Schizosaccharomyces pombe: one gene and its partners. Each later gene encodes a partner of the first gene's protein in a complex. Each region holds a gene or a part of one and is shown on either strand. Other genes may lie near its edges.

Region 1 (5,135 bases):
ACAGAAAAATTCGAAAATTGATCATTGCAAGAATATTAATGAATACTACTTATATTACTTCTTTATAAAACATTATGTTATTTGCATGGTATGAGTTTTGGAACCTCATTGCATAAACTTCCCTCCTTAGTGCTTTACGAGTTCATTCGTTTTTCGTTATTTCCTACTCATGACTTGGAGTACCTACGCTCTCCCTTGACAAACAACCTAAGTTTGCAACCAAAACGTCTTGTGTAGCGCGTTTAGTTGCATTTACATTCGTTATTATCACAAATTATGAGAGAAGTAATTTCTGTTCATGTTGGACAAGCAGGTGTTCAAATCGGTAACGGTATGTTCAATATCCATCTTTTTGTATTGCTGTATACTCTAAATAGTTGGCAATCGATTTTTTCATAAAAAATTTAGCTAACATTTCTAGCATGCTGGGAGTTGTACTGTTTGGAGCATGGCATAGGACCCGACGGTTTTCCTACAGAAAACTCCGAAGTTCACAAAAACAATAGCTATTTAAATGATGGATTCGGTACATTTTTTTCTGAAACCGGGCAAGGAAAATTCGTACCTAGAAGTATCTATGTTGATCTTGAGCCTAACGTTATTGATCAAGTTCGTACTGGACCGTATAAAGATCTGTTTCATCCTGAACAGATGGTAACTGGTAAGGAAGATGCTTCTAACAATTACGCCCGTGGACATTATACTGTAGGAAAGGAAATGATTGATAGTGTATTAGAAAGGATACGTCGTATGGCTGACAATTGTTCTGGTCTCCAAGGTTTCCTTGTATTTCATTCTTTTGGTGGTGGTACCGGCTCGGGTTTGGGTGCTTTACTTCTGGAGCGCTTGAACATGGAATACGGAAAGAAATCTAACCTCCAATTTTCTGTTTATCCCGCCCCTCAAGTGAGCACATCCGTTGTTGAACCTTACAACTCTGTGCTCACTACCCATGCTACTCTCGATAACTCTGACTGTACCTTTATGGTTGATAATGAGGCTTGTTACGATATCTGTCGCCGAAATCTTGACATTGAGCGTCCAACCTATGAAAACCTCAACCGCCTTATTGCTCAAGTTGTCTCTTCTATCACCGCTTCTCTTCGATTTGCTGGTAGCTTAAATGTTGACTTAAATGAGTTTCAAACTAATCTTGTGCCATACCCTCGTATTCACTTTCCTTTAGTCACTTATTCTCCTATTGTCAGTGCAGCTAAAGCATTCCATGAATCCAACAGCGTACAAGAGATTACGAATCAGTGCTTTGAGCCTTATAATCAAATGGTAAAATGTGATCCACGAACTGGCCGCTATATGGCTACTTGTCTTTTGTATCGTGGTGATGTTATCCCACGTGATGTCCAGGCTGCCGTTACTAGCATTAAATCTCGTCGCACCATCCAATTTGTTGATTGGTGCCCTACTGGTTTCAAAATCGGTATTTGCTATGAGCCACCCCAACACGTTCCTGGTAGTGGAATCGCTAAGGTAAATCGTGCTGTTTGTATGCTTTCAAATACCACCTCGATTGCTGAAGCTTGGTCTCGTCTGGACCACAAGTTTGACCTTATGTACAGCAAGCGTGCTTTTGTTCATTGGTATGTCGGTGAAGGTATGGAAGAAGGTGAATTTTCAGAAGCCAGAGAAGATTTGGCTGCCTTAGAAAGGGATTACGAAGAGGTTGGTCAAGATTCTATGGATAACGAAATGTACGAAGCTGACGAAGAGTATTAATTTATCCAATAATCGCTTTTATACGTTATTTCATTCGTTTTATAACTTGAAGATATCTTGCATCTACCCTTGTCTCTTTAATCTTTGTTTATTCAGCCCTGTGGTCAAATAACTAAAGGGTGTCTGTCTTTCTTTGAGAGTTAAAATGTTCACCCAGCGGCAAGGAGATAAATTGCTCGTCCACTTATCTCACTGATTTTTTAACTTGAACATTCTTTTTCTTTACTAGTCAATTCTCATTTAGATATCAATCTAATCCACTCTATCTTTGCAAATAAACCACCAGTAAAATTTCAATTTCTCCTTTCTGTGGTATCTTTTTTTTTTAATTTTGCATGAAAAAGAGACACTATAAACTGTAAATTACATTGTGTATTGGCGCTTTTCTAGCTTTACAAAAAAAATGTTTTTAATCTCAACCTCTAAGCAATAAATCGGTTAATTGGTTAATAAATTACTTAACTTATATGACTCGATTGCTCGGAATTAGCCTAAAATCATTTAGAATACGAGCATGAGCCAAAACAGTCTACTGTAGAAGTTTCAAGGACGAGTAGAGAAAACACAATTTTTATTAAAATTAGAATGAAATTTATAAGGTGAAAGTAGAAAAAGGCGTTTTTTTAAAATCATAACAAGATTGTGATGAGATATAATTATCTAAATTGATTGCACCTTTCTTTCATACCAAAGAATTAGTCAATCTTTCCTCAATGACAGACCAATCTATGCAATCAAACCATGTGTCGATGTATCTTGAGCGATTTAAAAGACCGTAATCTTTATAATATGCATGATTCCATAAACAAAGGTTTAAAATGGGAACATGCGCATATTTTCGAGGTCTGGCACTATAATCTGGCACACTAGAAATAAGATGGGGATCATTTGATTGCCATCTAGTCCAAAGATACGGAGAACCTGCTTGAAAAGTTCTCAGTAAGTTTAATCTATTATAATCATCAATTACAATCCAAAGCCAACATGCTCCAAAACTATTTGAGGCAAGCTCATGAATTTTAGAAAGTAAATTTTCTTTAGAACCAAAGTTTTCATTGACTGCTTTATTGATAGCGGCATTAGCTTCATATTTTGAGTTTTTTTTGGCATCTGCAGCTCTTTTTCCGATCAAGCTTTGAAAAAAGAAATGATTGTTGTAAGCTTGACTTGCAAACTGGAATGTGGCTGCATGCTCAGGCAAAGCGGCTGTTTGAAAGATAATGTTAAACACAGATGAATCCTCAAGTTCTGTTCCCTTCACTCGATCATTTAATTCTTTTACTACTTGACGTTGATGCTGGTCCCAGGCAATGTCAAGAGCTTCAGGACTGAAAAGTGGTAGCAAATTTCTTTGTGAAAGATTAGGAACTGTGTGGTAATTGTAGCAATAGTTTACTCGATGCACATTGTCTGTAACTGAACTACATCGTTTCAGAAGGTGAGTTATCGGTGAAAGCGCAAGCCCTTTTCGTAGACCTGTGTTGAGCATAAGCAAATTATCTGAATATTAGGTATAACTTGCTGAAATACCTATATAAACCAACAACGAAGTATTTAAGGGAACTGGACGTGTTTGGGTATCGCAGCTCGCCTTGTGTCAAATACAAGTTAGCCACACCACCGCAATTATGAATACGTTTGGACGGTTTGCGTCGGATATCATTATGGGAGTTTAAATTTTTTTGGCTAAAGCTTTACTTGAGTACTTTGTAATTTAAAGCCAAAAATTAAAATGGATTTACCCGTCTATTATTTATATTGAGGTGACTTATCGTTCATGAACTTCAGTACAGAGCCCTATGGGTCTGTAAACTAAGTCATCATACTTTATATGAAAAAGGTTTATGTAAAATAAAAAATCTGTATATTATTAGATTTCAAGGAACGTATACCTACAAAATCATTAACAAAGATAATAAAAGAGCGGCGAGGACATTGGTAAATCCTCGATTTTGCTCTGGTGCCTTTGATGTTTGGGCTTCTTCAACGTTAATGGAGAGAGAACCTTCACTGTTATAATCTTCAGTAAGCTGAATTGGAGATGGGCACAATCCCATCTCATAAGCCGATTCCTCTGGGTACAAGATCATGGGTTCACCGTTGCGTACCATAAATACCTGTCGATTATCTTGTACTGGAACGGACTTGCAAGATAATACGTCCATCCACTTGTGCTCTTCTGCCGAAACAGTATAATGGAAATGAATGTAATATGAACCTAAGTTGTTGAGTACGGTTATTACTTTGCCACGTCGTAAAAGCAATATTCTTTTATCAACGATGCTAATATCCGACTGCATATTTAAGAAAGCTTCTCCGTCTTTGCTTTCAATCATAGCTTTGCGGAAACGATTGATTGTAGACGTGAACTTATAGTAAGGATTTCTTTTTGGGAAACCTTTCTCCCAAATTGCAGGTCGATTATAAGGAACCTCTTCACCGCGCATGGCAAGTTCTTGGCCGTTGTACATCATAGGAATACCATCTCCCATAAGAACAAAAGCAATTGCATTCTTTAAGGTGGCTGGATCACTAGAAATTGAAGCCATTCTAGGAAGGTCTTTGTTCTCAACGAAGTTTCCTAACAATAGGGGATTGACACACAAACCGCGCATGTCAGTCATTTTGTCGGCAAGATCAACAATTCCCTCTGGATTATTCATCAAAAATGCTTTTACAGCAGATTCTCTAACAGGGAAGTTACTCAACCCTTCCAAGTCGTTTTGCCAATCACAAACTTTTAAAGAGTCGGAAGATTTCAAGTCACCCATGCAAAACACTCCAGCAGCTTTGCAAAAATCTGGCCAGTACTTTCTATATTTGTCACCCATAGCATCGAAACGAATACCATCAATTTGGAAAGTTTCTACAAATGTTTGAATATAGTCCTCGAGAGCCCCTTTAGCACTAGGACGCTCATGAACTGAATGGTCTTCATGGCAAGAGCAGTGTTCCTCGTGCTTCCAAGGCTTGTGATCGGGCTTGGTTCCATTGTGGGGAACTGGACGAGGGAACTTACCGTGATGGCAGTGTTCCTCGTGCTTCCAGGGTTTATGGTCAGGCTTGGTTACATTGTGAGGAACTGGACGAAGGAACTTACCATGGTGGCAGTGTTCCTCGTGCTTCCAAGGTTTGTGGTCAGGCTTGGTTCCATTATGAGGAACTGGGCGAGAGAACTTATCATGATGGCATGAGCAGTGTTCCTCGTGCTTCCATGGCTTGTGATCGGGCTTGGTTCCATTGTGGGGAACTGGACGAGGGAACCTACCGTGATGGCAGTGTTCCTCGTGCTTCCAGGGTTTATGGTCAGGCTTGGTTCCATTGTGAGGAATTGGACGGGGAAACTTACCGTGATGGCAGTGTTCCTCGTGCTTCCAGGGTTTATGATCAGGCTTGGTTCC
Region 2 (5,022 bases), on another chromosome or scaffold:
AAGATCTTCGGTTCCGTCGCCACACTCGAATGCCTCACCTTCTCCAACTTCTTCTTCTATGGCTTCTGCTGCTCCAGCACGTACTTCAGTTTCAAGGTCGAAATCTAAAGCTGAAAGGCATGAAACATCGACAAGCAGTCGTAAGTCTTCAAAGTCTGGAGAACACCATCATCATCACAATGAAGGACATGCTGATTCATCTTCTACTCGTACGTCATTAGCGCATCAAGACAGTCGTAAATCTCTTCATCGACATCTTTCGCGCTCTTCGAGTAGAGCTAGTAAGAAACCTTCTATTGTCTCTACTACTGGACCTTTTAACGAAAGCTTTTCTGCAAAGCCGGTTGAGCCTTGCGCTTCTGAGAAATGGTGGCTGAATTCTACTGCTGTTCCTAAATCCGTAGTGCAGATGAATGACTCTGTTCTATATATGATAAAAGAAGGAATTACAGGGCAAGATAAAAAATACAAGTCTGTACACATACTGTTCCCTGACTACAGCCAAACAGTCTTGACAGCTACATTCAACCCACATAACCAAAATATTACACAATTATCTCAACTTCAACTAGCTCCACCAGCACAGCCTTCAAAAGCTAGATTAGATGAGGAATATGCTTGTTATGGCTCTACAATTTTGAAAAAAGCCCGAGCTTACCAAGGTAGCATGGTTGGTGATGGTTCTGCATTCACTTTTGTTAATTCCGTTATGTCGATACTGGCGCATAATCTCGAACCTATAAACAAACAGACTTTTGGAGGTGTGATTTACAAGAATGTTGGAAATGTTACTGTGCAACAAATTGGTGAGATTCGCCCAGGTGATATAGTTACATTTGATAAGGCTAAATTTAGTGGACAAAAAGGTACTCTTCGTTCAAAATACTCTCTTGAAGTTGGTAAGCCCATGCATTATGGTATCATATCAGAGTGGGATGTTTCGAAACTGAAGATTAGGGTGTTGGAACAAGGCAGAGAGTCCAAGAAGGTTTCAGTTGCAAGCTACAAATTCGGTGATTTAAAGAGTGGAGAAGTTACTGTGTGGCGTGTAATGCGTCGATCTTGGCTTGGTTGGAATTAATGGTAATTATTTTACTATGGTTTTAAGTTCTTATCATTTTATCACAAATAACTCAAACTTCCTAAAGAGCAGCACTCATTTTTTTAAATTGTTCAATTGCGAAGCAGATTTGAATAGTCCTTAATGATCGTCTGTCAGTATATTCTTTCACTGATATATCTTTGACGATTGGGATTATTTATATCATTTTTTGACGACACGCCCTATGTTTTTAGAAGACTTATATCTCGTGGAAGTTGTTTGCTGAATTATATTCACATATATACCAAAGATTGGGCTATGTGATTCAACTTTTGAAATATATATACACATCTACAGTCATTTTTATAGTATATGCTAATAATCAGTTATATCTAATTAAACAGTTGAAATGCACAATTAACAATGTATGGTAAAAGGATAAGATTTTGTAAGTTATTGAACTGTACTTAAAGACAATTTCGGAAAAAAAAAATCCTTTACAAAATTCTAACTCTTTTTTCAAACGCTTGCGCTTATATAATCAACAAAAAACATTTATTTCGAGGTGAAACCGAAAATAACGGTTAACTGAAATATATACCTAGTCAAGATTAACGAGAGTGACTTTCACTAACACCCAGAGAACAAGGATGTAACATTGCAAACCAAACAAACTTCTTAGAAAACACATTCAGTTCAAGTGTTATGACTGTTCACCAAAATGAACAACCGTCAAGTGCAAAACGCAGTTTAGGGTAAACTAGTAAATAGGGAAACAAATGGAAAGTGTAAGAGTCATTTGAAGCAATAGACCCATTATTGGTACAAGAATTTGATGCCACACAAAGAGAAGTAAGAATAAATAGATTGAAAGATTTTTTAAAGGAGAATCGTATGTCGTTAAGATTATTGCTAGTGGTAGATTGTACTGTGGGATAACAACAGAATATAGGAGACTTAAACGAACCTTCTTAATAATAAAAATGATAGGTTGTTAAATGCAACTTAAAATCGAGTAAACCATAAGGAGATAGCATAAATGCACATGATCATAAAGTCCTCTACGAATTAGAGAGGTTATCTTTCTCTGAGGAATTAGCTTCATTATTTGAGGTTTGAGAGGGAGCCATAAAAAATTTCATAATACCCCGTTGATAGGATACGGGAGCATCGAGAGATGAATCTCTTTTGGCTACCAATTGAATATCTCTGTTAAAAAACGATTCAACCTCCGAGTCTTCCGAGGGATAGGCAAGATGTGTTTCTAACTCGGGACCGGAAAAGGGAACTAGTCGGAGTCGACCATTTTTATAGACTGTATAAGAAATGCGCTGTTCCTGGGAAAAGAGGGGAGATGACCGATTTCTATTAAAGACAACTGTTCGAGGTAGCCTCAGAATCAAGCCCCCTAAACCGTAGTATGCAGTAGAGGCATCTGAACTAATTATATGGGCCGTAAGTCGACGTCGAATATTGGAACAATTTGATTCACAATTAGGTGTTACTCGAGAATTAATTAAAGGAACATTACTGTATTGAATACCGCCAGAAACTCCGTAACGGCGAAAGTTATCATTTTCGTCGGATTGTTTAGAAGGAGAAAATACCTTATTTATGTCACGCGTATCTTTCAACCCCGTTTCTTTCAATAATTCTTGCAACAAAGCAACTTCAGAAGGATCTCGTACAAATCCAGCATCAAACCAATTGCGAACTAGACGAACAAATTTAGCGCTTGATTGAAAATCTGCTTGCTTGTATAAGGAATCTTGCTGCCGCACACATATGTATCTTGTCTTTATTTTTGGAAGAGTCCTTTTCAGTCCCCAATCACCACGAGCTCTACTATTTTTTTTTGAAGTTATGGATTGCAATCGAGGAAACCGAAGGTGTGATGTTGAATAATTGGATTCTGGAAGACATTTTGGAGAAGCCATTGCCCTCGAGCCACGGAGAATTTGTGCAAAACTCATATTTTTACAAAAATTCAAGATTTATATTGGGACTTGGCTTCTATGAGGAGAACGGTGGCTGTACGGTAGTAAGCACTGAGCGCTGTCAGTATCTAACATTGACTCCGGTAAGTTAGGGTAGGGTTTAAATGTAAAATCAAAAAGCACAACGCAATATTAGTAGTACTAACTAATAATTTAGTCTAATATAAACAAAATAAAAAAAATAAATTCAATTATTAACAAGAAGGTATTAAAGTTCGCAAAGCGTGATATGAATCAATCTCTGGTCCATCAGCATATATATCTAAATTTACATGTTGACACAGTAGCATTTTCAATAAGATTAAAGCGCCAACTGAAAGAAATATGTTAGTAGAAGTAATGTGAATAATCTATTTAAGTTTGCAAGCAATCCCTTTTCATTTGATCATAAAAAAAATGAGAGTGTTATCTTACAAACTACTAAGCGACCAATCTATACGGGATTGCTTCACCGTCCAACAAAAAATGCAAAGTATATCTATACTTACCCTTGTCAAGTACTTCTCCAGAGCAAACTCCGCCTTCAAATTTTGAACTCGTAATACATCCGGGACAACCTTCACGAACTTTGCAATCGCAACTCTCAATTCGCTCAATGGCCATTGTAATTAATTCATCAGTATGTTCATATGCCTTGTTGCATAAACCAGCACCAGATGAATCACCACAATTATCATAGAAAATGAGTCGGGAAGGACGTCTTCGCTCGCTTTTAGCCTCTTTATACTCCTTTTCACCCGCTTTACATTCTGTTCGAATATCGTTACCGCTGTTACTAATAAAAATTGGCATCAACGAAAGTAAAGCATGTTGGGCAGCATGTATACTAGCGGCTCCATTTATTTTTTTTAATGACAAAACCTCAATGATATGCCAAGGTACATCTATCCAGAAACCTCGACTATCAATTTCAACAGGATGATCGGTAATATCTACCACGTCCAGAATATCTTTCTGCTTGTTAACTTTGAAATACCCAAATACATGTAATGTTGCTTTAACAGCCCCAAAATAAATGTTTGTACTTCCATGCATAGTCTTCTTCATTAAGCTGCGAACAGGATCAACATCTGTGAAATCTCTTTGCAATGTTGACCATTCAACATCAACTTGATGAGCAGTAATAATTCTCTTGTTAATATTTAGGAGCCTAATGATAAACGTTTTTCCTTGATAAACATAAACTGCACCTTCGTAAGCAGTTAATGCAACACGAAAAGGTTCGAGGAGTTCTAGAATAACATTCTTATCATTTGTGACATCGACGAGAGTAAACATGTCTTCACTAACGCTTCGTATCCGTACCTGCGAGGCAGGAAAAGGAAGATATTTTGGATGAGGCCGATAACTCTCTTCAACCATTTCTAAATTTGCTTCGCAAATGTCTTGAATTTGATTTCCAAAAAACTTTTCGTCGCTCCTTATGTTAATGGGAAGCTCATATGCAGCACACTGAAGATGACTCGCTAGTAATACCTCATTTGTCAAGTCTAAAGTGAGTTCAGCATTTGGTTGAGTGTGAATCAAAATAGGATGCTTTAAATAAAACTGATCAACGGGAAATGTCTCAACTATATATACTGCTAAGGAAGACTTATTCCTTCTACCAGCACGACCAAATTGCTGGCGCAAGTTAGACAAAGAATATGGAAATCCTATGGTTATAACGGCATCCAGTGATCCTATATCAATACCTAGCTCTAAAGCATTCGTCGCAATAATCCCATATAATTTCCCGTTAAACATTTCACTCTCTATCTTCCTGCGTTCCTGAACCGTATACCCAGCCCTATACGATTGAATCTTAGATAAAAGATCTCCTTTTTGTTTGGTTTTTAATTCCTGCCTCACTAGTCTCATTAACGACTCACAGGTTTTTCGAACACGACAGAAAACAATTGTACGCACCCGCTTTTCGGCAAATTTAATAAGCAGTTTCGAGGCTTCAGAGATTGCGCTTTTCTTTCCATCATCAGGATGCTT
Region 3 (5,921 bases), 400 kb from region 1:
AGAGCAATGCCTTGCATAAACTTTGCAGTTTCAAAAAGATTGACAGCGGTAGGACGAGACTGTTTGAGATGCTCAAAGCTATTTATAACATATTCTTTTGCATCTGCATCTTCAGAAAGATGTTTTAATCCGACAGCCACACTCAAAGCTGCTACAATAGCAATAGCTGGGGCCCCACGAACTTGCATTTTTTTTATGACAGCGAATGCGTCTTCTACATTACTAACTGAAATGTATTTACGCTCGTACGGAAGAAGTAATTGGTCTAATACAAGAAGCTTGTCCTCATTATAAATGATTGCTTGCAACGACATTCTGCCCAAATTTTTGAATATCTCTGCCTTTGAAAACTTTTACTTCACTAGCGCACGAACGCACATGCATCAGATAAAATTAAAGGATTTGATGAAGCTCGTAGCGATGCATTAATAGAAATAATGAATTAATATAAAGTTACACTGTGTAGTTTACTTAGGAACAAAAAATAGTACATTAAGTTTAATATAAATTTATAAGAAGAGTTAACGCAGTCTTTCGTACTTTTGACACTGCTTATAGATAGATAAAATTAGCAACCCTAACTTAATATTGTGCTTCTTATTTATCCGCACTATTTGATATGCATCTAACATTTTGAACGCGTAAACAAAAAATTTAGACTCATTCAAAGATGTAAGTTCCATCGTCAAATTATATTACCAAGTTATTTTGATAATGAGTATGGTGCCTTGAATTATAGATTAAAAAATGTATCACCGAATTTATTTTTAATAATGAGTCGATCTGACATATTAGAATCAAGGAATAATAATATGCATTGATGTTTTATGAAGGAATTACAGCTGTAGAACCTATGTATACAAACTTCAAACTTTTAAAGATGAGAACGATATATTTTTTTCGTTTTCCAGAAAAGCCATGCTTGAAGTATTTATCAAGATGTTCGGTAGTGTCAATTTAATAATCATATGTGCGACTTTGACTTTGACATGCAGCAAGAAGTTGTTGACACCAACCTATCTGCTTGAAAAGTGATACTCGTTTGCAATACTTAAATATATATATATATATATCAGTGATCGCAAGTCAGTTTTGAATGCAGGATTGGTAAACAAGGGTCGCAAGTTAATATATTTATATAGCTGTCTGCTGTAACAGTTTAACATACAACCTTGAAACTGTAAAACATTGAATATTTTTCATTGTTAAAGCCAATTTAAATGAGAACGATTATTGTGTTACGAGGTAAGCATTTAATTCCAAAATCCCTATGTATTCTTGTAGTATAAAGTAATTTGAATGACAAATCAGTAGATTCTTCCATAATTGCAAGTAGGATGCCAGTCCCAAACCTTTAATTCCTAGCTCAAAAGCACAATTGTTCAGTTCACACTTTTGTTAACTTCCGGAATTTGTTATTGTAAAATAATTGTCTCCTCATAATTTTAAAAAATTACATCTCATTGCTGACTGAGAACTCTCATCATACTGGTCAATTTTAAATTGTGCTGAAAGCCTTATAATCACAAATATTCATGTTTAATCGAATTTTTTTGGTTTTCTTCACTATGGTGCATCAATAATATTTTTAGTACAGTACAATCACACCCACCTTTGAATTCTAAACTTTGACCTTCAAATGCAAATAAAAAATTTATAGTTAGATCGTTCCATCATAGTATAAATTACAGAATGATATTGCTTTTTTAAAATAAATGTTACCATCTACGTGTTTTTCAAGGTATTCACGCGCGAACGACATTTAAAATGATTTCGCTCCGCTTGTTTATGTTCAATTAAAACATTGATTAATAACCCCTTAGTCCTACGATAATTGTGTTAAACTGAATATGATGGTGGATGACAAGTGTAGCTCGACCATTACTCCCCACTCCAACCAAAAAATTTTGTTAAAAAAAAACACCTTTACAGTGTTTAATTGTTGGAATTTTGTTCTTGTGGTTTTCTTAACAAGTATTTTAAGTAACCGGCTAAAATATTAATCATGAAACGGTATATGTTTGGTACATTACCTCGCGTGCAACCGAAACGTTGTTTCCAGACAGCTATTGGCAAAGAATCACCGTATGTATTCAATCCTTTCCTCTAATTTAAGCTATAATTTTGTACATTCTAACCCCAATTTATTAGCAAAGGGAACAGCGAAAAGGATCAACTTTTTGAGAATCCATTTTTTCAACAGCTTCCTTCCAACGTTGCAGCTGTATATTTGAACCCTGTTAAATTCAATCCTTCTGAAAACGACGTACTTTGTGCTTCTCTAAAAATTAAAAGCTTTGAAACTCCAAAACTTGATACGTTTACCGACTTCATTTGTCGAACAGCGTATTACATGAAAATTCCAATCAAGGGTCCACGTCCATTACCCAACAAAGTAGAAAGCTGGACTTTACTCCGATCACCTTTTATTCACAAATCTTCTCAGGAGAATTTTGAACGTATTACGCACTCTCGACTTATACAACTGTACAGTGTCAATCCAGTTACTTTAGAAACGTTTTTTAGTTATTTACGAAAATGCAACATGTGGGATTTAAAATTGCAAGCAAAAGCTTATGAATACGAATCCATCGATGATGCCCTTAAAAACTTCGAGTCACAGTCTAAGTCTACTGATAATTTCAAAGAATTGTTAAACGGTCCTTCGAAAAAAGATATAATCACACAAAATGCCGAAAAATTGCTCAGAAACGACCCCATTTACAAAGATTTGTTAAAAAATTCATCTCGAAAATAAAAATTAACTAATGTGTTTTCAATTACTCTGATGTTGGACCGTTTATTAGCAAAAATACTCTGACTGTATTCGTACTTTTTTTTTTAACAATATGACACTAGCTTTTCTTCATTAAAAGTGTTCTTTAACTAAAAACGTTACGAATAGTCCACACTTGTTTCGTTAGTTTTCCTCACCAGTAATTTTTGAAGTTTCTTGGGGATTGCTTTTCGAAAGAACAAAACCCGCAAGTGCCTTAGGTCCTTCAGATTTTTCCATTTCAAGCTGTTCCATTGGATCCATTGGTGCTGCTGCACTTTCAATTTTAGCTGCTCTCTTCGCTATATGAAGGGAATCAGTGCTAAACTTAGTTTGTACAGACCGTTTAATACGAAGCATTTCTTTAACTGTTTCTTCTGGATTTCCGTACCTTATTTCAAATTCTTGCCATGCTTTCCAATAATCCGTTTCAACTCTTGGATCACAGTATTGACTTCCATGAATATATATTAAACGAGCACGATCGATTTCACCAAGTTTCGTCTCCATTTCAGCAAACCTTAAGCACATATCTTTGACTTCTGAGTCACTCAGGGATTCAATAGCCTTCTCATAAACTGTCCTTGTCGCCAGTACACCATAATTTAATGCCACTTTAACGAGTAACACATTGTAAATAGCAAGACGGTCTGCTGTTTTAACCTTGTCGGCCGCTTTTTCTAAAATAGAAATGGATCTTTTTGCTTTGCCAAACTTTTCTTCGAAATCGGCATACAGAAGATAAATACTTTTCGAAAATTCGGGCGGACATCCTTCTAATGCTTGTTCAAATAAATCCCTGGTCCTTTCCATATGCGTTCCTTGATATCGTTTAACAAATTTTGTTAAATATAAATTCCAAAGTTCAAAAGCCACGGGATAACTAAATAACGCAACACCTCTCTCATAAATTTTAAATGAATCTTCAAAATAAGCATTCTCCTCTAAGAGATTTGCATAATTGACAACCACCTGGGGAGTAGCAATTTTTAGTTCAAAGACGCGGTCGTACAATTTGCGTGTAGTTTCAATCGTACCAACGCTTTCCTCAAGATCAAGATAATACATCCATATCTTAGATGACTTGTGTAGCCGTACTTGTGGACTGAGTGATTCATCAAAAAAGCTGATATGACTTTTTCTAGGAGCATGAACGGCATCTCCTATTAATTTTCTCGCAGCGTCAAAATTTTGATGTCGAAGTTCCATCTCGGCCCAGTCAATCCAAACTTGTGCTAACTCATTGACTGTTTTATATGGTACATGAGTAGCCTTTTCAAAAATTATCCTTGATTGTTCTAAATCATCAAAATTTTCATAAAAACGAGCAAACTCTGAAAACAATTTGCCGAGGGAGCCATGCGCCAGCTTTGGATTTACATTTTTTATAGCGTCTGTGTAAACTTGAACAACTTTTTCGCTGTCGTCTTCTAAAAACTTGACTCGGCGAAGCCATTCGTCAACGTTATTTATATTTTGCCTTAATAATACATCATTGATATAAAGCGGACGTTTGTCAAGTATTTTCTCGAGCCAGGCCATATGAAAATCGATACTTAATTCGTCATTTGCATTTCCGCTGCTTGCTTCAACTCGTGCAGATAGCCATTGCTCTTCGAATTCAACAAAAGCATCGAATATAATTGTAAAATTTCTTACAGTCATTATGTTATTCATCCCTTCATAGAATGTGCTTCTTGCCTGTACGATAAGTTAGTTTTTGCAATAAGGGGTCAATAAACAAACCAGTTAAACATACCTTCTCGTAGTCACCAATGCGTATATAATATTGTGCCAAATAAGTCCATAGTTTCCCTGCTTGATCAGAAAACCTTTTAATGCCAGCTCTAAAAACCTTTTCTACGTCTATGTTTTGCGTATGGTCAGGATGCTGAACAACTAACTCGGAAAACTCGAGCCATATCTGATAATTGCTCTTCCTTTTTGCTGATAAAAACACGGGCCGATTTAAAATATCCTCATATTGTCGAGCAGCTTCATTCCACAGCCCTAATTTACAAAGTATCTCAATGTAGTTTTCAATTGCTCTTGGTTCTACTTGTATATATCTGCGGTAGACATGGATGCAAAATAATCCTCCAATATCTTCAGCATATTTCGTAAACATGTCCCAAATATCATCGTGCTGAGTTACCGGTAAGGCGCGAAGTGCAGAGTTAAATGTACAACGAATCTTAGTGACATTTGGTTGTTTCATCAAAAATTGTAAATATAGTTTCCAAATAACAGGCATTTTATGCAATAAAATCAAAGAGCGCTCAAAACAATCGTTTACAGAAGCAAAAGCTTCGGCATGAAAATATGGGTTCAAATGTTCAACATGCGCTACACGTAGTTCCAAATAGCTTTTCCATATTTTATAGCTTCCCGGGAGTTCTGAACAAGCTCTTTCAAATAAAAGCACACGCTTTTCCAAAGTAGATCCTTCATGGGTCTTTATATATCGTAACCAACTTTTCAGAGAATATGGATCACGTAGCAATTCAAGCTCAAACGGCTCGTCATCAACATTAATTAGATCAAAATTAACTTTCAGTGGAATAACATCTCCCATTTCTAATCCTTTTGATTGTTTTCTAAAGAAGCCCGATGTAGGCTGTTGTCGTGCATACAATAGACCTTGGGCAAGTGAAAAATATGAAGTTCAATTTTAACCCCATAAGATGAAACTTAATTGAGAAAGCACATTGCTTATAAGATATAAAACAAATAAATTACAGAATTAAAAGACTGTCTATATGCCCACCTCTAGGGAATTAAGCCAAAGTATGTTGATAAATCAGAGCTACAAAATACAGCCCTTCGATTTCTATTTCATTTGTTGTAAATCACTATCCATAACGACCTTCTGCTATTTAACTACCCTTATCAGTAAACCTCTTCTGTACTTCGAATTTATTCATTGATTGCTATATTCAAATTATATTTATACGAAACGCAAAATCGCTTCACCTGGTAGATATAAAGCTAATAGTGGTGCTAATGTGACTTTTGGTCATAAAAATTAACGAGTATTCAAACTAGTTATCACTAATTAGGAGCGGCAAAAACACTAATTGTACATATAATCAGCTTACAAAAATCACATCGAAATGCCTAAATCCTTGACTAATTGTTTGCAATA

Evidence for each region. Proteins that work in one complex are often made in the same cells at the same time.
Region 2: SPOM_SPBC16A3.14 (region 1) and mrp51 share a complex: the UniProt entries of both Schizosaccharomyces pombe proteins name them as parts of the mitochondrial small ribosomal subunit.
Region 3: SPOM_SPBC16A3.14 (region 1) and rsm10 share a complex: the UniProt entries of both Schizosaccharomyces pombe proteins name them as parts of the mitochondrial small ribosomal subunit.

Annotation. Positions count from the first base shown.
Region 1 is NC_003423.3:4,268,715-4,273,849, forward strand, and holds SPOM_SPBC16A3.14 (mitochondrial ribosomal protein subunit S26), read right to left. Parts: upstream 3,319-5,135; 5' UTR 3,224-3,318; coding exon 2,417-3,223; 3' UTR 2,277-2,416; downstream 1-2,276. Other genes in the region: nda2 (tubulin alpha 1), read left to right, coding at 277-331, 422-1,734; meu7 (alpha-amylase 4), read right to left, coding at 3,627-5,135. UniProt on the Schizosaccharomyces pombe protein: Component of the mitochondrial ribosome (mitoribosome), a dedicated translation machinery responsible for the synthesis of mitochondrial genome-encoded proteins, including at least some of the essential transmembrane subunits of the mitochondrial respiratory chain.
Region 2 is NC_003424.3:4,110,582-4,115,603, forward strand, and holds mrp51 (mitochondrial 37S ribosomal protein bS1m), read right to left. Parts: upstream 3,078-5,022; 5' UTR 3,016-3,077; coding exon 2,104-3,015; 3' UTR 1,389-2,103; downstream 1-1,388. Other genes in the region: bbc1 (SH3 domain-containing protein), read left to right, coding at 1-1,081; RecQ type DNA helicase Hrq1, read right to left, coding at 3,234-3,352, 3,528-5,022. UniProt on the Schizosaccharomyces pombe protein: Component of the mitochondrial ribosome (mitoribosome), a dedicated translation machinery responsible for the synthesis of mitochondrial genome-encoded proteins, including at least some of the essential transmembrane subunits of the mitochondrial respiratory chain.
Region 3 is NC_003423.3:3,868,288-3,874,208, forward strand, and holds rsm10 (mitochondrial 37S ribosomal protein uS10m), read left to right. Parts: upstream 1-1,880; 5' UTR 1,881-2,005; coding exon 2,006-2,085; intron 2,086-2,151; coding exon 2,152-2,758; 3' UTR 2,759-2,920; coding exon of another isoform or gene 2,921-4,477; 3' UTR 4,478-4,533; downstream 4,534-5,921. Other genes in the region: mri1 (methylthioribose-1-phosphate isomerase), read right to left, coding at 1-314; protein Cwf3, read right to left, coding at 2,921-4,477, 4,536-5,351. UniProt on the Schizosaccharomyces pombe protein: Component of the mitochondrial ribosome (mitoribosome), a dedicated translation machinery responsible for the synthesis of mitochondrial genome-encoded proteins, including at least some of the essential transmembrane subunits of the mitochondrial respiratory chain.